Linked DNA regions of Oryzias latipes. The protein of the gene in region 1 interacts with the protein of each later gene in a pairwise test. Links are inferred from orthologs where the notes say so. Each region holds a gene or a part of one and is shown in the gene's direction. Other genes may lie near its edges. The genes, in order: hivep1 and atxn1l.

Region 1 (15,053 bases):
CTAATCAGTACCCACCAATGGACTGTCTACCGATCACAAGGAGTAACTCAATGCCCACAACGCCCGGACACTCAGTTCCCCCACCCAGCATCAATCCAGTGCCCCGACCTTTAAGGGGCTGTCAGTCATTTGATGAAAAGATTAGTTCTTTGAATGATGAGGTGTTCTTGTCAGCACCACCAACCCCAAATCCCGCAATACACTCTCGAACTTTAGTCAGACAAAAAGCTGTGGACGACTTTTCAACTAGTGAGGGGCACAGCCTGGTGGCTGTTCGGTCAATGGATGAGGGCTACCATGGGCACAGCAGCTTGGTTGAGCAGATGCAGAGGAGCAGATCGTTTGAACACGGGCAGGACCGAAGCAGGAGGCCTCAGCAGAACAAAGGCACCATGTATGAGTGCGAGACTTGTCGAAATCGGTACAGGAAGTTGGAGAATTTTGAAACCCACAAAAAATTCTACTGCTCAGAACTTCATGGTCCCAAGAACAAGCCTTTGGTGGTGAAGGAACCAGAAGAAGATGTTTTCCATGTCAACACACAGCAGCACATACCAAGCGGCACTGGTGCACTAGACCAACAGACGTCAATCAGAAAGAGAAGGAAAATGAAAAGTGTAGGTGATGAAGATGATCAGTCTCCAACTGACACCATTCCACCATGTTTAGTTGGTTGTGAGGCGACAACAACTCTGCCAAACAAGAATTTTTCTCAGACTGGGCTCATAGTAGACATCCAACCCAACAGCCAATCAAAGCCTCCTCAGATCCAGCTTGTAGCACGAGGTATGAACACGGCAGAGTCCAGACTGTCTCCCATTCAAGAGATGAATATCAGTGGTGCTGCTAAAGGAGACCTTCAGAGGCAAGGCAGTGGCACATCAGTCATCAGACACACCAATTCTCTGAGCCGACCCAACTCATTTGAGACGGACTCCCTTGATAGAGTATCTCCTGATGTTTTGGAGAAAGATCAAATGAAAAGTCCACAGTTAGATAGATCTTCTGGAGTCTCAACTGATTCCTACCAGGAAAAAGCTTTCAAACCTACATGTGACGAGTACAGGAAACTCGGGAGGGAGTATAGCAGCGATAGTATGAGTGCTGCAAGCTCAACCCCAGTCAATCAGTCTCGTCTTGTACGACAAAGCAACATCCTGGTTCCTGAGATTCTGGTAACAGAAGACTCAGACAGGGAGCATGAACCTAACACCAGTGAGCCGGCAGACAAGCCTGCAGAACAATTCAACTGGCCCCAGAGAAGTGAGAGTCTGTCCAAGTTACCAGCTGAGAAGCTCCCCCCTAAGAAGAAAAGAATTCGTCTGGCTCAAATGGACCAGTCGTCAGGTGACTCCAGCTTTGAGTCCAGCTTCTCGCGAAGCCTTAGCAGGGACAGCAGCCTCTCTCGAGGCTCCAGCATCTCAGCCTCCTTTGACCGAGAGGAAACAATTCGATCAGAGAGTCCATCCAGAGGGGAAGGTAAAACTCCAGAACCTCAGAGTTTACCAGTGGCGCTCAACACCCTTGGGGTGCCTGGAATGATGAGGCGTGCCGCATCTGAGCAGATCACTTGCACTCAGCCATCGGTGGAGATTTCGTGTGATTATCGAAGCAAGTCTTTTGACTGCGGCAATGTGCCTCCAAGACGATGTCTGTCACCCATCGGTCAACCCAAAACTGGACAGGTCGCACAGGTGCCACTGATTGAGAGAAGGCGGGGACCACTTGTTCGACAGATGTCCTTAAAGATTGGCCCGGAGAGTCAGCAGCCTGTTCGGAAATCTGCCATTGGCACTTTAGACAAAGCCCTGATTGCTAACGTCAGCTCCCTCGGTCAGTACAGATCCCAGCAAATTAATATTGTAAGCAGGCGTGCCCCAGTGGCGTCCGCCATCCTAAACACAGCGGAGCCACCGCTGCAACAACACGAGCAACTGGTGCAAAGCATTAATCTGGGCAGCCCCACCCAGCAGCAACAAGTCCATGGTTTGCCACACCCCTGGTACCAAACGGCAAAGGTCCAGTTTAGTCAGAAGGTACAGCAAGCTCTCAGCAAGACATCAGTTTGTGGTGAAAATCTTCAAGATAAACCATCTGACTTTGAGAAAAATAAATCCTTTGTGCCCAAATACCAACTCCAGTGTCCCAGCCAAACCTTTTCCTTCTGTACGCAGGGGACTCAGATCGCTTTGCCAATTTTAACTATTCCAATTGCCAATCCGATCCTGAGCATTTCCAAATCCTCAGACATCATCCAGAATGTCTTTGTGGCCAGTCAGCAGACGTCCGATGTGAAGACCCAGACTGTTGTATTTTCAAGTAAACAGCAGAAGGAGCCGTTGGACCATAGCCAAACGGGCACTGCTTCGTTGCCGCAGATCCTGATCACCCATGAGCAGATGCACCAATCCTCTTCTCAGTCCAGTAAGCACTACCAGTTGTCCACTCAGAGTGCAGAGGTCCCACATGACCGGACTCAAACTGCAGCAGTTCCTGCCCCACACACAGCAGACCATTCATCCCTGGGTTCTCTGCAGTGCATGCAAAAACTAGCCTCTGTGACATTGTGCCCACAACAGGAACCCGCTGCTTCCAGCAAGCGCATGTTGTCACCAGCCAACAGTTTGGACATCTACATGGAAAAGCACCAGAAACGTGCCAAGGACGAGCATGGTGTAGCCTGCTTGACAGACGGTAGGTCGGCCGGTTACCTCAACTCAAAGATATCCGAGGTGTCACGCCAGAGAAAGCTAATGCTGGTGAGACAGGTGTGTACGACTGAACCGGTGGACAGTCCCATTGAGACAGAGGCCCCACCCCTGCCTGATCTCAAACCTAACGAGGAGAAGAACTCTGAGGCTGATGATGGAGTCAAGCCCATGTCTCCTGATGCGGTAGGCGTAGAAAAAAGCAGGGCAAAGGAAATTAACGAGAAGAAAGATCCGGTCATAAACACTACCTCCCTGCCTCCTGACAACAGTCTGAAGCCCCAGGAGAAATCCGAGGAGCAGAGGTGGACCCCGGCCAAATCCCTGATACGGCCCTCCAGCTTCCATGCAGGTCAAGTGAAACTGACCACGTCTGTGTCAGCGGTGAACACCAAGGAAGCCCACCGGCTGTCTTTCCCCAGCCTGAAGACCACCACCACCTTCACATGGTGCTTCCTGATGAAGAGGAAGCCTATTCACATGCAGCAGACTGACCTGAAAACCTCAGCATACGCTGCCTGGACCGTCAGTACAGATAACTCCAATCCCCTTGGGCTGCCCACCAAGGTGGTCTTGTCTCTTTTTGACTCCAAGCACAGCTCTAGGAAGATCCACTACACCTCCGCCATAAGGACCAGCAGGGAGTCTGACATCCTGTCCTTCTCGGGCAAGCTGAAGGACGTCATGCTTAAAGTAAGTTTTACCACAATTATTGTCATTAGAATAACTACAACAAATCAAAAGATTTACAGATCAAACGAGCTGCAGTCACTTAAGTTTTAACTATACCTCTGTCCTCCTAGGATGGATTATCTAGATTCTTTTATGACTTAACTTACATTTTGATGTGATTCAATTAAATATTGTTTTATTCTTCAAATAGAACAATCTTCAAAAAACTGAACAAAGGTAGAACTTACTACTAAAACGACAGATTCTTTTATTAAAAATCAAACTTAAGGCAGTTTTTTGCCTGAAAAACAAACTTTTCTTTCATAGAAGAATCTATGCCTGAATTTCATTAATCAATATAGATCATTTGGATATCAGTTATCCAACTTTTTTTCTTTTAGCCAACCGTGTTTGATGGTCGTCGTTTTTCTCAACCAGGCTCTCAAACTCCCAACCCTAGGGTCATTTACTGCCCCCAGCCCCTAAACGCAAGTCACTGAACTTGGTTTTAAAGTGAAATGTAATTACTCATCTGAGGAATATACACTACAAGAAGAAAACATCAGTGATAGTGGAAGAGAAAGATCAGTGTTTCAAAATAAGATCGCTGAAAGTTTTGGTGAGCACAGCTTTTTGTTGATTGGTGTTTGTAACATTAAGAGAACAAGAGCAGAAAGTTAAAGCACAGCAAGTTATACCAATTTTTTCAGGATGAATGTGAAACACCACATCTGTGTTTTGGAGTTAGGAAGATAAGAGCATGAGTGGAAGTGCTGTCATGTGTCTCAGCAGGAACAGAGCCAATTCCTCTCTTTTCACAGTTCATAAACTCAGTTAGCTGTTAGAGTGGAATGAAAGAAAACTATTGTCAGGATTTTTATTTATAGTGCTTCAAGTTAAGTTTTCAGAAATATATTTTAAGTCAAACAGTGATGTGGCCCTTTAAGGACATGATGGAGGCCGCCACCTCCAGAATTGGAGGTCCAAAGTCTAAAGCTGATTTTGGCTTCAGTGTGTTTATCATAAATCTACGAAACAATGGAAATCTGGTTGTCTTTGAGCCTGGAAGAGTTCTTGAAGACATCTCGAATGGTTTTAGGTCCCTTTTCCTTTTAAGATCCCTTTTTCAACAGTATTTATCTGGAATGAATGGGTTTGGTCGACCCAAACGGAGGTGTTAGAATGTTCCCTCTTGATTATTTGGCTTTGTTTCTCCACAGTGAATCCATGAGTTTCTTCCTCTTTCTGCAGATGCCAGCATCCCAGAAGTCTGTGTCGTCTGAAACCAGATGCAAACCACAACCAGAACCTCAGACCAGCCATGATTCGGAGAAAGATGCGCCGCTGTTGTCCGAGCCGCGGCGCGTCAAAATATTTGATGGCGGGTAAGCGTCCATTTGGTTGTCATCTTGAGAAGCGTCAATGGTTGTTTTGGATGTTCGCATGCCGCTCACCGTTTCCCTGAAAACCCACAGGTTCAAATCTAATGAGGAGTATGTGTACGTGCGCGGCCGTGGGCGGGGCAAGTACATCTGCGAGGAGTGTGGGATCCGCTGCAAGAAGCCCAGCATGCTGCGCAAACACATCCGCACCCACTCGGATGTGCGACCATTCCACTGCGTCCACTGCAACTTCTCCTTCAAGACTAAAGGTCAGCTTCGGTGAAGGCTGATCACAGCTTGTTGTTACTCACACTAATCTACAGTGCAAAACTTCACTTCAATTATGTTTTGAAGTAATGTTGTTTGTTTTATTTAAAAAAATAATTGTAATAAAAATGGTAAAAATGAGAATTTTATGAAATTGGACAACAGCAATTCAAACAAACTTAGTGGGAAACTGCACATTTTTACAGAAAAAGGATATAAAAATGTGAATCTTGTCAGATGACAACAAATGTAAGGATCTGACACTACTTTTTAGACAATACATTCAAAATGTAAAGTAGTTTTGTTCTTGGTTTGGATAGTTTAAAGGTTTTAAAGTGACAATGTGTGTTTGGTAGTTCATTTCTTCATAGTTACAAATGTTTTTGCCAGTAAATGACATACCGTAGTAACCTGTTTATTAATAGACATGTGATCCTACCATCAAAATGGCACCAGAAAAATACATAAAAATAGGATTTATCTGAATCAACCATTTGAACAAAAACAAAAAATATATATAATTGTAACTCTGCTTTGACTACTTTACCCCAGAACTGTCAGCTTGTGGTAGGGGTAACATGTCTTTAACAAAACAAAGTCACAACTCTCACTATAATTTACCGATAATCTAGATCATAAATCCAATTCAGCAAAACAAATACAAGTTGACCAAAGTGTGGAATCAGTCAGAATGAGTCAAAATTAGCCCAGAATGGAGGCGTGGCCTTTTTGGTGGCAGGTAACTGCCATACCCTAAGGTCTTAAGTATGGATGTACAGATTTTTAGGAAAGTCAGAGTCTATGGTGTCAAATCTGCCAAAGAGGCCAAAACAAAAGAGACCAGTGGGAAAATGTTGTAGGTTATCTTTAGCACGTAACCCCCGCCATAAACGAGGGAACACTGTGCATTATTAAAAAGTGAGGGTGAAAAAATGGGAGTTCTTGTAGATAAAAAACAACTTAAAAAGAATTAAATCAGGTTTCAGCAAAGAAACAAGTTCTGTAGTAGCTACAAAAGACTTGCATTATTTGGTTAGTAAAGATTCCCCCTGTTACTGGTAAGAAATCTTAATTTTGTTCTTCAAAGAGGTTTTAAGTGATATCGTCGAAGCCCTCCCTCCTCCTGGCAATGCATTCTTCTGCAGAAACCTAAAGTTTGTTTCCCTCTAAAGCTCCGAATGCTAGCCTCTCATCTGAGCATGCTCAGTGAAACTAAAAATGTTTCTCCAGCCTCTCCAAGACGTAATGATTCACTGTTCTTTATTGAATTTGGCCTCCCACGCGCCTCTGCAGAGCCGCTCTGGGTGTCAGCAGCCCACGTTCATTTAAAAATGTCTTCATCAGTTACTCACCTTTGCAGCTTTCCCAGAGAGAGCGCTCGCTCTTACGTAAACGGCTCTGCGCTTCGGTCAGAGCTCTGCCCACATGTGAGCCCTCTCATTTGCAGGAAACCTCACCAAGCACATGAAGTCCAAGGCCCACAGGAAGAAGTGCATGGAGACGGGGGTGCCTGAGGGTGTGATGGAGGATCAGGATGCGGAGGACTCTGGTACGACCATCTGTGCTGAACCCACAAACGTGAATCTGTGAAGCCGGGTTTACTCGCTTCACATCCAAGTGTTCTGCTTCAGCTTCGTTTGTTGGCCGATTCTGCTCACGTTCTGCCGCTAAAGGCCACACTCTGTGAAAAAACAAGTGAGCGGCGCCGCTTCCTCGGCTGCGCCGCGCACATGTGGGTGGCAGGCGCAGAGTTTACAAAGAGGAAATTTGCTGCATCTAATTTTAGAAGAACGGAGTGAGGGAGGATTGGAGTTTGTTTTTCCCTCCTCCGCCTGTGATGCAGCTCGCAGGGAGAGGACGGTTGGGAGGGTGAAGCTCTGCTGCAGCAGCACACAAATGTCCCTGAATGTTCTCCCGCTGTGAGGAGGCAAGTGTGGGAGATGAAACTGTTTGTCCAGCCGTCTGATTTCAGTCACAGATTTTCAGAAAAACCTGGAAGCTGTTGGATTACAGTGAACCCCGACACATACACACCCGTCAGAGTTGGGACCCTTTCAGTGTCTGCCGTTAGGTCCAAGAGTTTACTTATTTATTTTTTCTTTGTTTGCTCTGAACAGCCCGGAGCTAATGTCAGCGCAGCTAAATAAAAGTATAGCAATTTTTAAAAAACAACCAAAAATCCCACTATGAGCAGAACCGCCCTGCACGGCCATTCAGGCTTTGTTCTGGAGGTCAGGACCAAAGATTTGCCAAAATGCTTGTGGAGCACAGCATCTCCTAAAAGTCAGTCTCTCAGTCAATTATTTCCTGTTTTACTAGGCTGGGTTTACCACCAGGGCTTCTTTTGACTATTTTAATTCTTCAATCGTTTATGCAGTTAACGCAATTCCAGCAGATTCTGAAGTGGAAAAAGGGACTTTGTACGGTGATGCAACATTTTCAATATGGAAGGCCGCACTTCTCTGCGTCAGAATGATCTGATTTTCATTGTTCGTGTAAACCGTCATATTTACGGTACGATAAAGAGCTTGTATTATTCCGGTCTCGCCAACAACATCTCCAGCATTAAAGGGTCAAATAATTTAAACAAAGTCAATTTTCTGTTAACCCTTTAACAACAGAGCTGTCGCCGGCTACGCCTAAATAAAGCTACATTCACACCGTTAAAGAATGTGCATGCAAGGAGGGCCTTCTTCTCCTTTTTCTACGGTTTACTTACACTTGTCCGCCGCCTACGCGTGGAAGAGGTTTGGTGCGAAATGTCCAAGTGGTCCAAATGTTGTGAGTCTTTCGTCAGGCTTTTTCTTTCACAGGTGATATACAAAAGACTTACTGTCACAGAATTCAAATGGTTCTAAAGCCACTTTGCTCCGTATCAACATCAGCTGGTTTACATTGATTGCATAAACACTTAACTACTGTTAAGTGCTGCATATCAACGCAAAGCCGCTTTGGAATCTGCTGGAGTTATATTAATTGAGTAAACAGTTTAGGAGTTACGGTAATGTAACAGGTTAAAGATGTTGTTTTTTTTAGCAAAAAAGCTGCTTTTATTTTCTGAAAACTTGAGAAAAGTAGCATCTCTCTCGGTGGAATGATCATGTACATTTCTTTTAATTATTTTGTTGGACTTTTCCATAACCAGGACCAGCAGCACTCTGCAGCAGTGCCATTAGTTTTTATTAGAATTTTCCTAATTTTCCTTCTTGCTAATGAACTTTCATGGATTATTTCCAAAATTTGATTAGGATTTCTGTAATTTATCCAAAAAGTCAGTGTCTCTGGTTTTCAGTGAGTCTGCTTCCTTATTTCTGACACTTTGTGTTCATTTTCCAGATTATTTAGATTTAGACTTTTTATAATCAGACGTCACGGTGATTTGGTGATTAGTTTTTAATTAAATTTAAAACAACTTATTTTTCATTGTTTCCATTCTTAATTATTTACTTTTCTTTGTTATTGTTTTTCAGTTTTATTTAAATTTTCTGGAATTACGTGTGTCTAATTGTTTTCAAAGATTCTTCATGAACTAATTAGGATTTATCCCGGATTTTCCCCTGCAGGAGACCGGAGTCAGCTGAGCGGCGCCGACCGCCAGGATTCCGATGGTGATGACTCGGACGGCCCAGACGATGACGACAATGATGAAGAGGAGGAGGACGACAGTCAGGCGGAGTCTGGCCTGTCCACCAACCCGTCTGTGTCTGCCAGCCCCCAGCACCTCCCCTACAGAGACGCAGAGTTTCCCCCCAGCGCACTCCTCGCCCAGATGTCCATCAGCTCTGTCCCCGCCTCCCAGCCTGCCGCTCCTGAGCCCCCAGCCTCCGATTTCGCGTCCACCGCGTTCTTCCATCCGCAGACATCCGTGTCCTGCAGAGGCTCCGCCCACCTCCCTGCCTCTCCCCCGCCTGCGGTCACCTCAGACTCGTACACTTCAGACCCGGAGTCGGTGCACATGATGAGCCCCATCTCCCCCTGCAGGCAGATGTCCATCGATTACCCTGACTTTGACGGCCCCTTCAGCCCCCCAGCACAGGGAAAGGTCTACAAGCTAGGCCAGGTGAGTTCCTTTGCGCCCCCGCCCCTAACTTAGTCATAGCTTTACTGATGCAGGTTAGTTTAACTCAAGACCCCCCAGATAATAACTAACAATTTTCTCTCTCCACAGGATCCTCATGCCCCCCCTTCTACAGCCAGCGCTGATTCCAACACGCCTGTGGACAGAAGCACGCAGACCTCCTACCCCGCCCAAGTTCCTCCACCCCTGCCCCCGCACACCCAAATGCAGGCGGTGAGAGCGCAGACCCACCTGTTCAGTCACCTGCCGCTGCACTCGCAGCAGCCGGCCCCCCTTCCCTACAGCATGCTTCCAGTGGGAGGGATCCAGCTGCTGCCCGCCGGCCTGGCCACCTTCCTACCGATCCAGGCTGGCCCGGTCCAGCTTACCATCCCTGCTGTGAGCGTCATCCACCGAAATACCAGCCCGCTGCCACCTCCCAACACGCCCCCCCACCCAGAGAGCCTACAGACTCATCCAGTGGTGGTCCAGGAGCCACTCAGCAGTGTGGTCCCCTGCTTCCCCCTGGGGCAGGTGGCCGGCCTGCAGGCGCAGACGCTCAACCTCATGGGACTGACCAACCCTGGCCTGGCTTCAACGCCGCTGTTACCCCCCCAGGGCCTAACGCTTAACGCTGCTCTGGGCCTGCAGGTGCTCGCTGCCAATCCCAACTCTCAGAGCAGCGCCGGCCCGCAAGCGCACGTCCCCGGCCTGCAGATTGTCAACATCGCCCTGCCTGCCATCATCCCCTCCCTCAGCCCTCTGTCTGCCCTCAGCCCCCGGCCGGGCTCTCTCGACATGCAGAGCAGCCCAGAGGCTTCTTCAGCGCCACCTGCTGGCCCTGCCTGGGGTTCTGTGCCACCCAATCCAGGAGGGTGCAGCCCTTCGATGAAGCAGACAGTGGAGTGGAACGAGAAAGAGAAACCCCCACCTCAGCGTCCAGCTTCAGCACCCCAAATCCCCGCTGAGCATCCAAAATCGGCACCAGATCCCCAAGCCGTTGAGCTTGCGGTACCTGTGTTTGAGAACAGCCGACAAACGACCATCGACGACTACAACGAGGCGTCCAGCGACGATGAAGACCGTCTGGTCATCGCCACCTGAGACGGTGGAGCCTCCCCCCCCTACCATATTTGGAACTCTGGTCACTTTATTGAACTGAAGACCCTGCGGGGCTCGCCACCTCAGCAGTCAAAGCACAGAAGCCGTTGTACGTGCAATCAGACAATGACAACAATCCTTTGAGTCTGACTTATCCAACCCTGTTTTTGTACATGTTGTAAAAACAAGTGTGCCTTCATGGAGTTTTTGTTTGGGACACTGTACATAGTTCTGAGGAGTTCAGTGGTTGTTTTTGTTCATTTCAGATGAAAACAGAGTTGATCACTTTTTATCTGGGAGGATCTGTCATTCGTAAATGTATGGACTTCTCAATGTCGTACTGGTATATCTGCATTTCTATGGATTTTGGGGCAAACGTGTACAGATGTGTTCTATTTATTATGCTCCATATAGTGCCCACAATGATTCATAAGTCCACAGGTATGTGCATCAAGGTAGCTCTATGTTGCTGTATTAATATTTACTGTATGAGTAAACGTTTGTTTATGAAGCCTTTGCTGGTGGTGTTTGGTGTCATTGGGGGAGGGCGGGGTACGGGACTTTTGTAAATCACATAACTCAGCTTCCACAATCTGACTCAAACTAGCACAACCCGTAACATAAAGGTCAAGTTTGATGCTAGGTTCACGCCGCCCACGGTAAAGCACGTTCAAGCGACCACTTTTAATGAAAGGTTCATGTGACGCGCGCACATTTAGGTTTCTGCGTTCAGATCTCTCACATTCACGCTCAGCAACTTTTCAAGTCATTTTCTGAGGTTTTATGAACAAAATGTGCATCTATTGAACATTGCATGAGAACTTGATTTGGTGCCAAAATACTCATCCAGTCAACTCCCTAAGTTCAACCACACTCTAGTGTCATTACCCATAATTCCTTGCTAGATCTATCCTTCAAAGCTCTCTGTGCTGCCCCCTCCCATACAGGAGGGGGCAGCATGTCCTTTTTTGGGGTTTATCATGAAATAGTGTAGAAAAACTAAGTTTCATAGCTTTAAATGTGTTTTATTTCCCATTTTCCACTGTGGTCCACCTTTAGAGAACCATGTTTGCAATTTGTTGCGTTACAATAGCCGGTTTGAAACGTTAGGACGTGACACTGGTTGTTTTTTTAACCCTTGTGCTATCTTAGATGACCCCGCCCTTACATTGACATGTTCTCCCTACCATGACAAAGGTGGATAAAGGTGAAGAGGATTTCATGTAATCCATGGACACCAGTAAAGATCACAAATCATTGAAGAAAAAAGGTTCAGCGCACTGTGTAGTGGGTCTAGATGACCCCACTCCCAATGGTAAAGTGCCTAGGATAGTGTTGCACTCTTACTGGTGCCATAGCTTTGGAGAACTGCACCGCATCGTGTTAGATGATCACAGCAGGTCTGGACTGAACCAGAGTCCACTAGAACCTGCTCGGACCCGCCTTTCGCAGGTTCACTGAAACGGACCCGAGCACAAAACGGTGTGATTACAGCAGCTAAATGCACAACACTTTGGGCTAAATCTCGGGCTACCCTTGGCAAAAAGTAGTTTATTTTAGTATACTACGAGTATACTTGAAGTTAGACAGTATGCTTGAAGTTTACATCTTTTTAGGCTATATATTGATGGAAGTATTCAGTTAGTATCAAAAATATCTGAGTCATGTGTTAATTATTTTTTGTCCATGCATACTCATATTCCAAATTATCTATCCATTCCCTTTTATTGTGTTTATGATAGTTATTCTACTGTCAGACATATTTTCATATTGGAGCATTTAATCAATCTGATTTGAGCTGTCCTTTGTTACAGGCAGGTTAGGAGCTGAAGAGGCCTTCACCATGAGTTCTGAAGGTCCCCTAATGCGAAATCAATGTCGGACATTAATTTCCTTCAACCAATAAGATTTTGAGTTAGTGTCAGCAGGGCCTCTTAGCAGGCTTAGGCAACGTTACAGTATTCAGACTTTCTGATTGGACAGAAGTTTCAGGAATACAGGAAATATTTCCCACATGCAGCCTTGTCCAGTTTGACACAGAGCCGCGGAGCACTTTTTGATCTGTCTCAGTTAAAAACAGAGCTGACTGTAACGTACACCATGGAAGATTTTGCAGGGAAACCTCCCACTGTTCTCATTGACTTCCTTAATCAGAAAAATCTGATAATGATCATGAGCAGCTGTTCAGATTTGTGTGTTTGGCGCTGACCATCCCCGTGTCCACTGCGTCTGTCGAGGGGATATTCTCGGCTCTAAAGCAAATTAAAACCTACACGGAAACGCAACTGGACAGACTCGGCTCTCAGCATTGATGGAATAGAAACACTAGAAACAGTAACAATGGGAATTGAAAGAAAACACGACAAAAGTCAAAAAGTTTTTCCAGTATTTTCACATTTTCCAAGCCATGTCATGACAAAAATGTCCTCATGAACATGTGGACGCAACAAATGCAGCTTTCTGCACTCATAAAACAGCATGACTCAGACTCTGCCTCCACCGTGTTCTTCATCCTGCAGACATCCTGGTTGTGGGACACGACTGTGGTACATGAACATCTGAACATGAAACTAAAAAACTCCTCCATCTCAAGGACATTCTGAGATCATTTGTGAGCAGCAAAGGCTAAAATGGTGAATGAAATGATGTTCTCAGGATTATCTCAGTCTCATTTATAATTCTATTGGTTGTTTTTAAAAAAAAAAAACGAATTTAAATACTGTTTTACTCTTGCAACTTTGGTTTATTATTGTGCTGTACCTGTAAGTTGAAATTGTGTGCCCAGAAAGGCGCCATATAAATAAAATCCATTATTATTTTTATCAACGCATCATCATCTGCTATCCGTCTTTTTAAATTCTGACTCCAGAAAAATCGAACTGAAGAAAGGTTCCTCAGTTTACCTGATCAGCTGTGACTCAGCCATCTATAACAACCTCCTCTTCACAAAATCAACTCAACTCAACTCAACTCAACTTTATTTATAAAGCACTTTAAACAGAACAAGGTTCACCAAATTGCTGAACAATGCAAAAATTAATAAAAGCACATGAAAATATAAAGCATAAAACACATAAAATAGGTCCGGATTCCAACTCAGTTAAAAGCCAAAGTGAAAAAATATGTTTTAAGAGCAGATTTAAAAATACTGAGTGAGTTTATCTGTCTGAGGTACAGGGGCAATTCGTTCCAGATTTTTGGTCCGAAGACTGAGAAGGCTCGGTCACCTCTCAGTTTTCTCCTGGTCTTCGAGACGACCAGCTGTGTCTGATTTGTTGACCTAAGGGAGCGGGGGGGATTGTACACCTGAATCAGGTCAGACAAATATTTTGGGGCGAGTCCATGGAGACATTTAAAAACAAATAGGAGAATTTTAAAATCAATGCGTAAGCGAACTGGGAGCCAGTGAAGAGATGCTAAAATGGGAGTGATATGTTCTTGTTTCCGTGTACCAGTTAGAAGACGGGCAGCAGCATTTTGAACTAACTGCAAACGAGCAAGTAATTTCTGGGAAAGCCCAACATAGAGAGCATTACAGTAGTCCAAACGTGTTGAAATAAAAGCATGGATTAAAATCTCAAAGTCATGGCGGGAGAGGAGAGGTTTAACCTTGGCCAGTTGTCTCAGGTGAAAAAAACTGGATTTCACCACTGAGTTTATATGAGCATTAAAAGTTAAATTGCTATCCAGTTTCACACCTAGACTTGTTGCTGTCTGTTTCAGGTGATCATTTAAAACGCCTAAGTCAACATGTGCCTTAGAGACATCACTTGGACCAAATAGCAGAACCTCTGTTTTTTCCTGGTTTAAGTGCAGGAAGTTACATGACATCCATGTCTTAATGTCATCAAGACATTCTAGTAACTGGTGAGCAGAATATGCTTCTTCCTGTTTTAATGGTATGTAAATCTGACTGTCGTCAGCATAGAGGTGGAATGAAATCCCGTGTTTGCGGAAAATAGACCCAAGTGGAAGCAGGTACAATGAAAAAAGAAGAGGCCCCAGAACAGAGCCCTGAGGTACACCACATGTGAAAGTTGCTCTACGGGATTCTGCACGTCCAAGACGGACACAGAAGCTCCTCTCATTTAAATAAGATCTGAACCATTCTAAAGCACTACCTCGAAGACCCACCCAGCTTTCCAGGCGAGACAAAAGGATTTGGTGGTCAACTGTGTCGAATGCAGCTGCCAGATCGAGCAGAACCAAAACAACATGGTGACCGGCATCCGTTGCTAGAAAAATGTCATTTGAAACCCTCAATCAGAAAGGACGTGATGCCCAAGTTCAACCAGCAGATATTAGTAACTATTGCAAATAATTCAGTGTAGTTAGATTAATTTACCCCCACCACCACCACTTTTTGAAGGTTCCATGTCCTAATTTTGGATTTTTCCCTTTCACAGTATTACAACACAAATGTGCTATCTTTTCTAACTGTTTTACCATATTATTGTACTTTGTACTTTAGAATGCCAATCTATATTTAGCTTATTTTATTTCGTTTCATTTCATTGTTTTTAATTCCTTTGAAGTCTATTATGTTTTAGAAACTTTTTTTTTATTTCACATCCCTCAGCTTCTTTATTTCTGTCACCTTTAAAGCTAGGCCAACAGAGCCCCCTTCAGGCTGACATCTGTCAGTGCATGTGGCCAAAAACAACATGCCTCTTACAGGTCTCTCCCATAATGACATCACCGCAGCATCCAATCTTAAATGTTATAATTGTTGATCTTTTTTCCCCCCTTTAAATTAGTTATAGAAATCTATTTTCTGCAGCTATTTCTACTTTATGTTATGAAATGAAAAAAAAAAGCTGCATGGAATTTAAAAATGCATAATTATGGTTTAGACTAAGATTTTAA
Region 2 (15,674 bases), on another chromosome or scaffold:
TCTTTCTGTAACCAAGGGTCTTTTTAAGACAGTCAGCAGAAATAGTCTACCTCTTGGATGGAAGGAATGTTTCTGTAATTCTTCAAGGTAACTCCTTTTTCCCTTTCAAAAGTCACAGAGCTTTGCGTACTGTGCAGTTTGGATTTTGCTTGTTCTTAATAATCTGGCCAGTCTGGCTTTGACACTTGGCGGAATTTATTCTTTTTTTTGTTTCTCTCATTTTTGTCCAGGCCTAGCATAACGTTTGTTTGTTTCTTCTGTTGTGTAGAGGAGGAGGACCGAGACCTGAACTGTGTTGTGTCCTCATTGGTGCAGCTCATGTTGGACCCTCACTATCGCAGCCTCACTGGTTTTCAGAGTTTGGTGCAGAAGGAGTGGGTGATGGCTGGCCATCGCTTTCTGGACAGATGCAACCACTTGAAGAAGAATGATAGAGAGGAGGTATGCCTGTACTTGTTAATATTTCTAGTTACAGGAAGCAGTTCTCCAGATCTCCCTGGGATGTGTGGTGATGTGTTGTTTCCTGTTGTTACCTGTTGTATGAAGTGCCCGCTGTTCACATTGTTCCTGGACTGCGTATGGCAGATGATGAACCAGTATCCAGCTGCGTTTGAGTTCACAGAGGCATATCTGACAGTGCTGAGTGATAGCATGTGGATCCCACTGTTCAGCACTTTCCTCTTTAATTCTCCTAAGCAACGGACTCAACTCTTGACGGTAAAAAAATAATAATAATATTGAGACTAATAAGTATTGTGTTAACCTAATCTTTATTAATCAAAATGCTACAAAGCTCATTATGCCCCCCAGGTTTTCCTTAAAAAACAAATAAACCCAACAACATTTCATTTTGTTCTGTAGAAATAGTCTTCAGAATGCAGCGTGTGAAATGTCTTTTTTACTTTTTAGGACTTTGCCAAAAACAAAGCCATCCCTCCAGGAGAAGACCCTGCTGGGTTTTTCCCTGCAGTTTGGGAGTGGTCACAGCAGTTTTCCACCAAAGATCAAACCCTCTTTAACAACCCCATGTATGTCGGCAAAGGATCTGCACGTGTTCAGAACGGCGAAGTGAAAACCTTCAGACGCACAAAGGTACACAAGACACCAATTCCACGTCACATTAGCTTGTAGTTTGGTTGATGTGATGATCTTCTGCACACAGTCTGAAGGCATTTCAGAGATTTCAGAAAAACCTGTTCTCACAAAGGAGAAAACATCCATCCTTTAGTTTTTTTTTTTTATTTCTGCCATGCCGTTCAAATAAGCAGCTAAAACATTCTCTGATAAATTGATAAACAGTCTTTCTTTAAAAAATGTTCCATGCTCTTATAGCTTTGATCTTATCTTATGACAGTCTAATTCTTTTTATCTATATATTATTTTACTGACACATAATATACTGCCTCTATAGTTGACACAAGCTTACAATAGCCTAATTCTGGTTCTTTCTTCAACAGAAAGTTTATTCTTCCACAGTTCGGGGAACGTCTTCACTGCCGGCTAACGGGCTAAAAGGTAATGGAGAGCGCCGACGGAGCTCTCTGGTATCCGAGTTGAAGCCAGATTTCTCACCAGTGAAAGTGGAAAGTCCGTCTGACCGCTTCTTCAGAGACTGGTTCTCTCAACCTGCTGACCAGCACGGCGTCCTGATTCCCCTGCTCATGCCATCACATGTGGCTCTCTGGAAGCTCTTCTTCCTGCGCTGGGTCTCTGAAGCCTGCATTCCTAACGGAGGCCCCATCACTACCTACCACAAGCTATCCCAACTGGTCGATGAAATAGACATATTGCAGAGCCAACTGAGGCAATACAAAGGCTCCAGTCCAGGGAGCACACCACTTCCGAGCCCGAGCGCCCCCCCCTCTAACCAAAGAAGGATGTATTTTAAGGCGACTCCTCCATGTGACCCTTCCACCGTTCCAGACGTCTTTACCTCCTCCTTTCCTTTTAGTCCAGTGGGAAACCTATGCCGGCGAAATCTCCAGGGAACTCCAATTGGCAAATTTTTGAATGGTGCAAAGATCTGGCTCTCAACGGAGACTCTTGCTAATGACACTGTTTAAGGGTAATGGGTTTATATTTGTTTTTTTAAGAAAATCTAATTCTTCTTTATTATTTCTTTGTTAAATACTAATAAGAAACCTAAGAGATCAAATTCAACCATTTAAATGTTTTTCTAAATATAAGCTAAAAACTGCACCATTTATTGCAGCATCCAAATCTTGGGGAGTACTTAATTGTTAAAACTAAATCCTTAACATCTTCTACACCTTTTAAAGCGGATTGTTTGTTTGAAAAGAAAAAAAAGACAGAGAAATGTCTTCACTGTTGAGATATTTATGGTGGTTTTTGTGTGACAGAAATGGCACCTTCAGAGATTCTATAACTGCTATTCGATCAGACTCAGAAGACTCATCCATTGACATGATTCACTGTGCGTTAGAGTAATAATTAATAAACTGTTAAAAATATGGCTGTTGCTCTGCCAACAGTTTGTCTTTTTTAAATCCAATTATCCTTTAAGTTTCGTATTTTAAATTGGGAATGACTTAATTCTAAAACTGTGATGCACTTCACTAAACACTGATTTTCAAGAATTTAGTTTGTTTTGATGTTCAGGAAATGTAATTAAAGCTGAGAATGTTGTGCCTTTTTCATCCTAGCCGTATTTTAGAAAGAGAACCATTAAAAACCCAAAGCATGGCTTAAGGAATCGGTGTGCTACCTGGTTAAATGTAATAGAAAATCCTTTTATATTTAAGTTTTTTTTTCTTTTCTTCCTTCAAGGTCCTGTGTTGAAGGAAACCTGCAATAAGGGATAAATGCAGTGACTTCATTGTACTGCTTTATTTAGTTTTACTAAGGTTTTCTATTCTTTGTCATAGGAATCTTACTTAAGCAGAATCTTTATGCAGTTAGTGAGGACTAAAATATAATTTTTTTTCGTTTTGTTGTTTTTAAGATGTTGAACTTTCCTAAAGGCCTTCTGGTAAGGCACTGATCAGAAAAAAGTCGTAGCTGAATGTGAAAACAAGTGTGAAGTGATGGACCCAAGCTAATCTTGTTTTGAACAAATGGGGTTTTGAGTTTCAGGCAGGAAAGCTGTGGATCTGGTGATGGGAGCTCAGCTGTCATCTTTCATAATACCAATAAGCCTTCTGGATTCCAAGTCCTACATGAGCAGGTTGTTTTTTACTTGAAGTCCCATTCCACCTATATTTTTAACTATTGCTTCGTTCCCAGTGGTCTTTTCATTATGACTACGTAGATTTTAGCCAAAATTTTAATAAAACTGTGTTTTTTAAGACATTGTTTCTGCAGAGTGGCAGGTGTCCATCAGACATTTGCCTCTGAGTTGTGGGCGGGACTGTTGGCGTGGAAGTAACCCTTCGCTGATTTTCCCGTCATCCCTTTGTCTACACACTCTCCCGCGAGCTTACAGCCCCTCACAATTCCAAGCTAACATTAAAAGTGCAAAAATGTTGAGCAATATCAGAGCTATCCAGCCGTACAGTTTTGAGCTGGATACCAGCTCAGACGAGGAAAATGAAGAATGTTAATGGATCTATTTATCTGTAAGTGGATGCATCAGGATTGAGCGGAACAGGGAACTTTGGCCTGCCCAATTCAGTTGCTGTGACACAAACATGAGCTTTTTTATCTGCTCCTGATTGAATAAAGAAGTGCACAGAAACACAGTTTTAACCTTAAATTCTTTTATATGTCTTCCATCATGAGAAACATGCTAAAACACCAAAAGCATGATATTCAAGGGAGTGGGTCTTTAACATTATGACAGCTGACAATAGAAATCTTCTGTTTGTCCTACCTTAATTTCTTTTTAAATAAAACCTTTAGCATACATGTGATGATCTCTGCAGAGAACCGAGAAGATGATTCTCCTACTGTCAACAACTTATCACCAGCTTTACATTACATGAATAGAGATGCATCAGAATTTATCTCTGGCCATTACTGTATAATTTGAAGGACACCATAGAAATATCAAAACATGTTATAAAAATGCCTCAAAGACCTGGCAACAAACATAATTTTTCCTGTCAACGAGGAGCATTAATCTTCCAATCCAGTAGTGATTATACTATTACATGTTCTTTGGCAATAAATGTTTCAGGTTCTTTATTGCATAGTATATACAGTGTGAGTGCAAATCTGCCCTCTCAAATGCTAAATTGCACATTTTACCCAAAATATAGATTATTTTAAGAGATTGGTTGAAAATATTTTTTGCAGATTTAAATACTTTTATATGCTTGAAGTTTTTCCAATTCATTTTTTTTTTTTAATTAATGGTACTATAAAATGTTAATCCCTTATTTAGTCTTTATACTTATGGATGTATATTTATATGCTGTTTTTCCATTTAATTCACCATGATGTTCTCTGCTGTAATTGTATGATGGCTGTGCTCATTGTCACAGTTTGACTTTTAGATTCGGCAGATGTATTTATTCAATTATGAATATTTCTGTAAGAGGAATGGAGTTGCTGCTGCTCATCCTCTGTGCCTTTTTTGGGAAGATTTACTTTTTTTGTATTTATAATCTATATCTTTTGGCTTACTTTTGTCTTTTAAAATAAATAACTTTTACTAAATCTAGTAAATTTCATGAGAAGTGCACTGAAGTTGTTTTTCTTCTAAAAATGAGGATCAAGTGTTTATAACAATGTAACATGAAACAATTACATTAGTTTTCAACCATCACTGTGTTCTTGTGTTTATTTTACTAAGCAAAACCTCAGGGCAGCACAGCATTCACATTCTTGCTTTCCTACTGAAGTTTGACATTTTATATGTACAAAAGTTTATTTTAAGAAAAATAGGAACTAGAACACAATGACTGTAATACAGTGAAATTTTCTACTTTAACTTTCTGAAATAAATATTTCAAACCTAATTGTATATACCAACCAACAAATGCTGATTATCTTACAATTCAATTATCCATGAAGGTTTCCTCGGATAACTTTTCTGATGACACAAGAGTTAAAGATGGAGATAGTTAATTGTGCAGGACTCAAAGGCCTGTTCACTACAAATTTGCAACACTTACACTGTAAAGGTGTTCTATCTATCTTATCATGATGCTTGAAAAAGTCTTGTATAGTAGATGGTGGTTTTATTCCCTCTGCTGTCTGCCATACTATCTTTTAGATTTAAGGCACTTAATATAGTAATTTCCACTTTCTGCTATTGACCCGGGATTTGCACCGCATGCCACTCTCAGTAACTGGTACTGTGATTTTAATACTATGAAAGAAAAAATTATACAGACTCTAATGTGGATCTAACAATTAAAAATATATTGCTTTTTGTCACTTATACGGTAAAAAAAAAAGACAAAGTATAATTGGATGCATACATTGTCATTTGTATGCATTTTGGAAGAGTTTAGCGCGTATTTTTTTGATATATGTGACTGAGTTCAGAATTATTTTAAGAAACTGAAAAGTTTGCCTGGAAAAGGAGGAAATTGAGCAAAAGTGGTGACGTCATTGGTGAGCGCCTCTGTTGGCCTTCGAAATGGGCTTGACTCGTTAGCCCTGCTTTTTTAATCGTTATCCTGCACGTCAAACTTTTTGTCAAGAAACTCCCGTCCGCGATGACATTTGTAGGTAAGTATCGAGAACGAAACAGCGACGAAAATCGTCAGTGATAAGATGCAAGTCGAGAAGGAATCAGTAACAAGAGCGAACTGCTAGCTGTTCAGCTAGCTAGCATGTACCTTCGTGCTCGATAAATTACACACACAGACTATTAACCTTGTGTATTAGTTGGAATTGAATACACTTTGTGCATTTCATGTTGTTTTAGTAAGTGTCACTCTTTCATTTATGTATATGTTCCAGAAAATTAAGACTTAAGTAGCTTGCTAACTTTAGCCATAGAAGCTAGAAAGCAAACGGTAATCACTCAGCAGCGGCAGGATACAAGACAACTGTGTGACGCTGGACTCGCTGTTCTTTTCGTGTTGTTTTAAGGCGTCCCTTGCATACAATAACTTCCTATAGAACTGAATACATTATTTGAATTGTGTACTAATAAGTATGAATTCAACCGGGCAACTTGTTTGCATGACACCAGGTTAGCAACCATCTACAACCTGTCAAGAGTACAAAAGCTGTTACACTATAACAGTATCTACACCCATTAACCATGATTAATTGTTGTTACTTTAAATACAGACATGTGGCCATTTCTGTGAGTTCAAAATGAGCCCCTAATATCAACACTCCTCAACCATACAAATTATGTAAGATATGTTTACTTACCTGTCATTTGAAAGGCTATCTTTGTATTTTAAATAATAAAGTTCCATGCAAATAACCTTGCCAGGAAAAAGCTTCTTCTTTATAAAGACAATCTTGGTAAGTGGTGGTTAAACACTGAGATATGTATATATTCTTTTAGTGCCTCAGAAAATCAATAACCCCAGCATGGGATGAACTTGCATAGAACATGCAGTCCAGGGAACGTTTTCAGCAATTTGTCCTGTTTTAAGATTTAGAATGATCTTTCACATTTTTGAATATTAGACTTAAGTTTGGGAATTGTTTTGTTTGTCATGAGATTTATGGAATGGAATACTGGCAACTGTGATTTTCCGACCAATTAATGTGTTTTGAGTTCTACTGTTTTCAAGCTGTTAACTCTTTCTAAATATTATTTTATTATAGATTGATAGTTTGATATACCGATAGATTTTGTATTGATGTTTGCATCTGGTCTTTGTAATTTTGCTGCATAGCAGTTGATATTTTTTTATTTGTCCCTTGTAACGTGTCTTAGCATGTTAAACCCTCGACTGTTTACCCAAGTATTGTTTGCAAATTGACTGTCAAATTTTGCTTTCCTTTTGTTTCCCTTGTTTAACTGTAGGTTAAATGTGTATTCATATTCTCAGGTGAATTGGCAGACAAAGTCAGCCCCCTCTTTGCAGAACTGGTTCCTGTGTGGGCGGACTGGCCTGCAGGTTTCACTTCCTGTGCAGTACAGTAGAGCGACTTGTTTGGTCAGAGGATTACCATGAAACCCGCTCAGGAGCGTAACCAGGAGTGCCTGCCTCCAAAAAAGAGGGACCTCCCTGTCAATAACAGCAGTGGAGCAGGGGGGACAGGAGGAGGAGGAGCTACGGCCACTGGAGTGGTTGCTGGAGAAGACGAGGCGGCTTCCATCCAGAACTCTGGATCCAACAGTGAATCTCAAGGAGGGACCTCATCTGGAGAGTGGCTGCAAGCACAAGCAGGTTACCATTATAGAGTGGATCATTCAGACAATATATCAACTGTTCCTGTTGACCATTATAGCATGCTTTACAAAGTAGCTGTTCCATCTGTTACTTACTCATCCAACAGTCTTCACCCAGTGCTAAGCCACATCTCTCAAGCCTATACAGTTCACTCTCCTCTTCTGCAGCATCCAGGCCTCCCCTACCCCCCTCTTGGTTATGCACAGATCCCTCATTCCCCTCTACAATTCGTTAGCCCCCCTTATGCTGCAGTACCGTACGCTCTACCACCTGGCTTTGTCCCAGGATCGTTGATCTCTCCCTCAGGACCTATTCCTCAGGCCCATTCTGTTTCTCACCTTGTTCCCTACCAATCTATCATACAGGAAGGTGTTGTCTCTCCACCTCCGCAGGCTCAGGTAGCTACTCATACCTTTGCCAAAGCTTCAAGTGGTGTTCCATTGATGCTACCCTCAGAGCAAGCAGTCCAACAGCACCTTGGTACAGTTGGAGTTTTACCTGCAGCCGAGCTCAGCTCCAGAGGATTGTACCATGCTCAAGGCAGCAGGGGTTCCTCCACCCTCAGAGATGGCCACAGTTCTCAGTTGGCCAATGAAACAGAGATGAATGGGGGTGATAGAGAACAAGGTGTACAGGACTCTACTCACACTGCCAGAAATGCACATTTACCGCGCGTGACATCCACTTCAGCAACACAAGAGCACAGCCAGGAGAGAGTCCTGCAAACCCGAAGGCTAGAAGGCAGAAGTTCTCCTGGTCAGCGCAGCACTCCAGACAGTGATCTAGAGGTAAGATCGATTGATTTCATTTGTAAAATACAGATGGTTACACATGAAAAAAAAAAGCTGTAGAGGAATGCTCATGTTTTGTCATGGACTAAAATGTTTGAATATTTTTGACACTTAAAAAAACATTGTTCAGTATCTGGATATAAAGTAATCTACTTCATTTTTTTATTTGACACAGGTGTTGCCCTTAAGTGGACATTTCTATTGTAGTGACACCTCTATGATTTAATTGTCATTCTCATATTTCTGCATTTCTTTGTCTAAATTGTGTAAACTATGGTGAGCTGCAGTTTTGTAGAATACATGTATAGTGTATAGTATACATGTATAGTATAATACATGTGTAGTATACATGTCATGTTGTGTTGTATTGCTTCTTACTAACTGCTTTCTGTTGAATCAAACCCTTTAGTAAATGAAAATGAGTTTTGCTAATCCTCAGTGATCCTCTTTATCTTTCAGGTGCAGCAGGTGGTTGGTCGTTTGGCTTCCTCGAGCCAAGGGAATAGTGGATTACGAAAGGAGGTTTCATTTGCCCCCTTGAACCTCTGTCAGGGGGGCCAGAGAGCCGTTGATGTCCATGGCGAGAGCACAGGAGCCGTTTCTGCCAGGACCGTGTATTCTGCCCTGCCTTCAAGCTACAGTGACCATCACAAGCTGACTAGTCAACAGACAGGACAACCTGCCCATGCTGTGGTGCTCGCCAATGGGCAGCCAGTTCTTATACCCATTGACTATCAGCAGCAACATCAGCTGCCACAGCAGCAGTACCCAGGGCAGACTAACGACGCTTCAGCAAGCCATGCTACCACCACATCCTCCCCTAACCCAAGCTTTAAAGCCTCTGATTCTTCAGCCAGAGTGTGCCTCCCTGAGAGAGCAGAGCTGACAGCAGCTCTGCAGCAGCTTCCACAGCAGCCGGTGATCCAGCCTGCAGCAGATGTGACTCAGGCCTTAGCTGCAAGTCTCCTTCCTGCCCAGGCTCCCAGTAATCCATCACACTTCATGAAGGGTGCAATTATTCAGTTGGCCACTGGGGAGCTGAAGCGTGTGGAGGACCTGCAGACTCAGGATTTTGTGCGCAGTGCTGAGGTGAGTGGGGGTCTTAAGATTGACTCCAGCTTGGTGATGGACATCCGTGCCAGCCAGCAAAGACCAGGTCTAGCATCGCTTCATTTTACGGTCGGGGAGCAGCAGAGCAAAGTGACAATCGATGTGCCTCCAGAGCACCCTTTTTTTGTGTTTGGCCAGGGCTGGTCATCTTGCAGCCCTGAGCGTACAGCCCAGCTTTACGGCTTGGTTTGTCACCGCCTGCAAATCGGGGACACGTGTGTGTCAATTAGACTGCAGCAACAGCTTCAACCCCAGCAGGAGAAGCAGCCACAGAAGCATCACTTGCAGCAGCAACAGCAGAACCTCACAAGGACTTTGAACAAAACCAATGCTACATCAGGACCTAGTCACCAGCTCATGGGGCCCCCTGCCCCTCAGCAGTCACGGCCGCAGTCTCATTTCAGGTTGGATCGCATCAACAGAGACAGGCAGCGGGATGGAGAAAAAGAGTTTGTGGAGGAGGATGAAGTCATCCATTTAGGCGGTGGTGGACACACAGAATCACCCATCAGAACAAGCCGAATCTCTGCTGAGCATCCCAGGAGTCAGAGCAGTTATCACTTGCACACAGAGGGCTCTGCTTTTGCAGAGGCAGGCATGGGAGCAATACAAACTCCCCATGGTGCCTCTCAGAGACGATGGTCTTCACCCGGCCTCCAAAGATACAGCGTGAAAGTGGACGACGGGCCGCGTCCTCAGATAATCACCTCTGCTCACCCACGGCCGTCTTTCATCCCCCAAGAGGTCAAACTGTCCATCGAGGGGCGCTCTAATGCAGGGAAGTAGCATCATATTTGGTAGCAACCATAGACGGGACTGCCACGAGTAAGACGAGAGTTTGACAAGGAGAGAAAGAGGGAAAAAACAGTGTGAATGTAGCCTCAGAATGTTGGAGATTTTGCACACTTCAAAATACACAAAGGCATCTAATCATTATTGTCTGGTGAGAAGTTCTGGTTTCAGCCTGCTGCAGTCTTAACGGGGACGTGAAAAGCTAAGCATGTAGCTGGCATGTCCATACACACTGCTTTTCTCTTCCTCCGTCCCTCCTTTGTCTCCACGTTCTTGAACTCAAACCACGTAATGATCTCTTTCTGAGACATTCGCTTTTGGTTTTGGCTATGTAAAACATCCTAGAGAATTGAGTTCATGACTGTCTTTAAAAACAAATTATTGCATCGCACTAGTTTGAAGCAACCAACTCTGGTGAAAACAAAAGTTCAAAGCTAATAATGTTTTAATCACAGCGCAGCCAAAATACTGCTTCTGTGTAAAGCAATCACCCTAAAAAAAGGTGGTTGCTGACATTTGGAGGACCCGCTGTTGTTGTTGTTCCCACTTGTCAGTGTGCTTTAAATTGTGCTTTCACAACAGGAGTCTAAACCCTCCGCTGTCAGCAGCAATACTCTCCCTTCGTTACTCCTTTGGAAGCCGCTCTGCAAAGGTTGGAAAGCTCTCTCAGGCCACATGTCCCATTTCATATTTGTCTTACAATCAAATCAAGCGAATCCGTTGTGTCACCACCTTCCTCCCACTTGCTCTGAATGAGGACTGGAATGTTAGCGGTTGGAATAATCTCCTGTTCTCTTCGATCTAATCTTGCTTCGACCAACTTTAATGTTTTCTTTCCACCCTCCTTATAGACTACTTCATATTACTCATAATATTGTGGATGAGTGAGGCGGTGATGAGACGTGTCTGCTTTAAGCTTCAATTCTTGTTACCAAATGAAAGCAATAGTTCATTTTTAAAAGTACTGCCCCACCACAAGAGTTTCATTGTGTTTGAGGGGTAAATTCTCTGTTTTAAAGGATTAATCAGCTTTAGTTTGATAGCACGACTTTGGCAGGTTTGCTGAAATTGAAGGTGGACTGAGTCACTGTTGGCAATTTCAGTAACCCAAGTTCTGAAAGTGGATGCGCATAAGAGACCCGGTTAGTTTGTATGGATCTGATCCTTTGCTCCTATATAAAGGGATCGTAGGTCCAGCAGGGTTTTTTAAACTGCCCTGTGTTGCACATCTGACCCCCCTCCCCTTGATTTTACTTTAAAATTTAAATAGGACTCCCAATACTTTGTGTTGTTTTTTTTTATAAACAAAGGGAATATTTTAAGAAGTGTTGGTTCTATGTGGCAAAATTAAAATGGACTTGTTTCTCTAACTGTTTACAAATTATCCTAAAGAATGCTGCAGTTCCTTCCTAACGTCAAGGTTTTTATATCAGACAAAAAAGTCTAAAATAGGACAATTTGAAAAGAAGTGCAATTAGATCATGCATAAATCATCAAATTATCATTCCATATGTTGACATTCCCCTCACCAATTGACTAAATACTCTTTTTTTTTTTTTTTGCCTTGTCTACCATTGATCCTCAGGCTTGCCTTTGGCAAACACTTTGATCCCATTGAAAAGCGATGGACACGGTTGTCATAGCGAGGAGCTTTAAAACATCGGTTCAGAAGTTTCTGTGAACTTTTACTTGAATGCTTACAACTTCCTCTGTGCATGTAAAGAGCCATATGCCACTGTCGTCATTTTCAGCTTCAGGAGTTCTTGTAGGATGTGAGAGTTCTTCACTGCAAACCTTTGACGTAGTGTTGGTATTTTCTATGCAGTTACCACAACTGTGCCCTTCATTGTTTCATGCGTGGAGCAGGTTGGCTGATACAGTTCTAATTTTAGGATTTGTGCTTGGAATCACTGTCTTTTTTAGAAGTTTAACACTCGTTAAATGTTCAGTGAGCCTCGTTTTGACCCAACCCTGATTACTACACAGCAGATGCCAAATCGTTGAAGAAGTGTTATTTAAAGTTGTTTAGGCCTGGTTGCCAGCCACTTCAATGTGTTTTAGGTCAGGATGTATTCGATGGAGTTTATTTGTTCATTACCTCCTGTTTATGCTCACATACAGACCATCATTCTGATCCTCCTTTTATTTTGAAAGGTGTGTGCTGTAAAATTCTCATGCAAAGATGTCTAATTTCCTTAACTTCACTGATGGTCTGTTGCTCTAAGTGATTGCACTAAATGTCCTTCACAGTGTTTTAAAAAGGAAAACTTTTGGGGAGTTGAAGACTAAATTATGAGAGCGCACAAAATTGTGGAGCAATCGCAGGTTTTGTGTTTCTGTAGATATATATGCATTTCTCTTGTTGTACATAGCTTTGACGCTTGTCAATAATGCCTTAAACTCTTTTCTTTGTACAATTTGTGAGATGGAAATATTGGAGCAATGTTTCCTGAGACATTTATATTCAAGTTGTCTTGTTTAAATCAAAAGAAACTCTGGAGCAGAACTAAAGACATTTCATTATCTGCAGCTTTGTGCTGTTTCCCATTCTGCTCCGTTACAGTTTTGATTCCCTCTGTTGCTCAAAACTTAATTTGTGACTCCCAAACAAAAGTGTGAATATTCAAGGATGTTAGCAATGGAGTTTTTGTCTCTGCATTAACGCATTTACAAACATGTACAGATCTTTAAATGTATTGGTGTTGCACAAGATCTGTAAGGATTTTTGTTCCTGTTTGCTCCCTAGAATAATGGGTTATTATTTTAATTTTTCTCTGTTCCAAAGTCTCTGAAAAGGAGAAATTGCGCTCTAAATAGAAGAAGACCAGCTGCACAAGTCAGTTAGCTTTCCACTAGTGGTAATGTGCTGGTTTTTCTGGGGTCTTGTGGCGTTGGTTAAACTGCGTTCTGTCAATCCAGTATTGAACTGCCAGCTCGGGACGAATTCAATCAGGAGAGTTGGATTTGTTTAAAAAAAAATCCAAAAATCGATGACAGTATGTGTGTTATCAAACATTGTACTTTATTTTTCACACACTGCTTTCCATGTAACCATCATAACGACATCATCACTTTGAAAAAAAAAAGCCTAAATCAGCTAAATATATGCAATTATGTAAATGTAACATTCAATCCTCAAGTATAATCCAGGTGGTATGAACTTTGTATAGTGACTTTTAATATCGTATGGCCGTACCAATATGTATTGATCTCTATCAGAAGCCTTAGAGTTGTTGACCCAAAGTGCTCCCTTAGAATGCCCCGCCGCCCCCACTTTAACAAAGCATTAATATCTCTATTTTGTTGCATTTTTATTTGTACCCTTTTTGAATAAAATAGATTTGTACTGTATATTTGTACCTCTGTGAACTACTTAGGACTTTTTTTTGCTGTTTTAATTCTATGTACTTTAAGGACACAAAGATATTGTATTTTTATTGTTACAGCTAACTTGGAGACATTGCATTTATCATGTTTGTCAAGTAAACACAATATAATATATATAAATATATATATATATACAGATACAAATATAAACACCCTGTGTGCTGTCTTTATTGTTCCATGAAATAATGAGTAAAGTGGATCCTCTTACAATGTTGTGCATTATATTTCGTGGATATTTACACACATTTCTCTGGTTTAACAAGTTCTGTTTTACCTTCTCAAAACTGACTGCAGATGAGAAGCAAAACTAAGATTACCGGTTATCTTTTTTGTATAATTCAAGAAGACAATCACAAGTGTATAAACAATTGTTTTTTTTTTACAACCATTTGACTTTTGGGAAATTTACTTCTCCAAAAAATCAGTAAAAAGGCATTCTCCCCCACCTTATTAAATCAAAATAATTTAAATGAATGCTTAAGTTGGTGTTAATGTGACAGGCAAAAAAAGATTTTTATTTTTAAGATAAGTTTTTTATTCATAAATCAAACTAGGAAAAATGCTTTTTAAAGGTAAAATTATTTAAAAAAGGGGATTAGGAAATAAATATACAAAGATAATAAAAAACATGAAATTTAATCATTTAATCATATTTCCAAATTCAGTGTAAATATTATTGCATACTTTTATAGTCAAAAATACATCTATAAACATAACTAAAACACATTTTTATATAAATTAAATTACGATGGGGAAAAAATTATAAATCTTAATTGTTCCCAATGTTGCACTTGTACCCAGAAATTGAGCTAAAATGAAGTTTTTAAAAGCAAGTTAAAAAATAAAGGAAGAAATGACACCCACATATTAAAGTTGATGTTTATTACCACATTCTTTACCAGGACTCAATATTATCTGTCTCCTAATAGTTGAGTAACAATGGATGGCACCTCAAAAGTGCTACCCAATCAGAATGCATTCATACCACAGCCAGCTGGACGTTGGCAGTTTCTCTCATTAGTTTGGCCGTTTGTCAGCTATTTATTGTGTAAACATGGACATTGATTGAAAATCCTGACAATCAATATTAAGATGCTTTTTTTTTTTTTTAAATAAAAACACTTTAATAAAACAGTAACAAAAAAAGGCAGGCAATAAAATTTAAGTAGAACACAAGTTAAAATCGAACCATTCTAGTACAAGCGCAGTTTATAACATGCAGTTTACTTAATCAAAGACGAGCGCAATGCTCTTAGGACCGAGTCCACAGTTCTCCCACTTCTAGACGTTTGCTGGGGATCAAACGAGCGACCTCTGGGAAAACCTAATGTTCCTGATTTAAGAAATTGCAGGAACAACTGAAACGTTTGTCCAAAATGATTATTTGCCCTTTTTAGAAAGGCCTAAACCAAATGGCAGTGAGACCCTGTTGATTCCATGTAATGAATGAAGGACAACCAAATGTCTCTTAAAAACAATGTCAGAGCGTGAGGCTGATGAATGCACCTCATGGAACCAAAGACTCTTAGCCTTCTCACTGAGTTAGGTTGACTGAGAAGGTGGCTTTCTCATTTTTGAGTCTAAGCCATATAAAAAAAAAAAAAAAAAAGAACATGTAAATTGCATTCTGCATAGTTTCTGTGAAAAGGGATTTTATTTGCTGTTGCATAGAAGTTTGATTCACTCCTAGAACACCCTTAACGTAACCAAGTTGCAGGTATGCCTCAGTTAATGGAGATAACTAAATGTAACTGCTAGAATTTAAAATATTTTTCTTTTATTTTAGCTTAACCAACAACAATTCTATTGATGCTTGTGTAGAAAAAAAATCATTTGTTCAACGAACTTTATTTTATTTAAAAATCTCTTGTTTTTTTTCCAGAGCCTTTGGGTTCTGCATTAATAATTGATTTTTTTTTTTTACAGTTCTGCAGTTTTTATTTCAGCAGATCTCAAAGAAGACCAAGAATAAAGACTCATATCAGGACTGAGAGTAAAAATATGGATTCTGGCTGATCTAGGAGTGACTCAAACAGCTGTTCCAAAACTGTTCACTAAAAGATGCAAGAAAAGAAATTTAAAAAAATGACACAACAACCCTATGTTCTACCAATAAAATATTCCAAACTATTTTACAAAATTATGTCATATTGCATAAATGCACTGGAATGAGATTAATGAGTATACTTCAATATTCTATTATAATGAAACTTACCCCAACTTACTTACAATTGCTTAAAACTCGAGTGGTAACAATACCCATTTTGAAAATACTGCAGCTTACTAAGCATCCGAATGCTACAGAAATTGCACAAAGCAGAGG

What was found.
Region 2: the proteins of hivep1 (region 1) and atxn1l interact in a two-hybrid assay, tested with the Homo sapiens proteins (2 studies listed by BioGRID). The link is inferred for Oryzias latipes from reciprocal best matches to the Homo sapiens genes HIVEP1 and ATXN1L.

The regions. Positions count from the first base shown.
Region 1 is NC_019869.2:19,509,424-19,524,476, forward strand, and holds the end of hivep1 (zinc finger protein 40), read left to right. Parts: coding exon 1-3,401; intron 3,402-4,631; coding exon 4,632-4,765; intron 4,766-4,855; coding exon 4,856-5,031; intron 5,032-6,476; coding exon 6,477-6,578; intron 6,579-8,592; coding exon 8,593-9,089; intron 9,090-9,197; coding exon 9,198-10,190; 3' UTR 10,191-10,703; downstream 10,704-15,053.
Region 2 is NC_019861.2:21,134,082-21,149,755, reverse strand, and holds atxn1l (ataxin-1-like), read left to right. Parts: upstream 1-5,501; 5' UTR 5,502-5,637; intron 5,638-6,926; 5' UTR 6,927-7,048; coding exon 7,049-8,059; intron 8,060-8,521; coding exon 8,522-9,958; 3' UTR 9,959-13,556; downstream 13,557-15,674. Other genes in the region: mtmr10 (myotubularin-related protein 10), read left to right, coding at 17-87, 269-441, 547-717, 910-1,092, 1,458-2,063. UniProt on the Homo sapiens protein: Chromatin-binding factor that repress Notch signaling in the absence of Notch intracellular domain by acting as a CBF1 corepressor. Binds to the HEY promoter and might assist, along with NCOR2, RBPJ-mediated repression.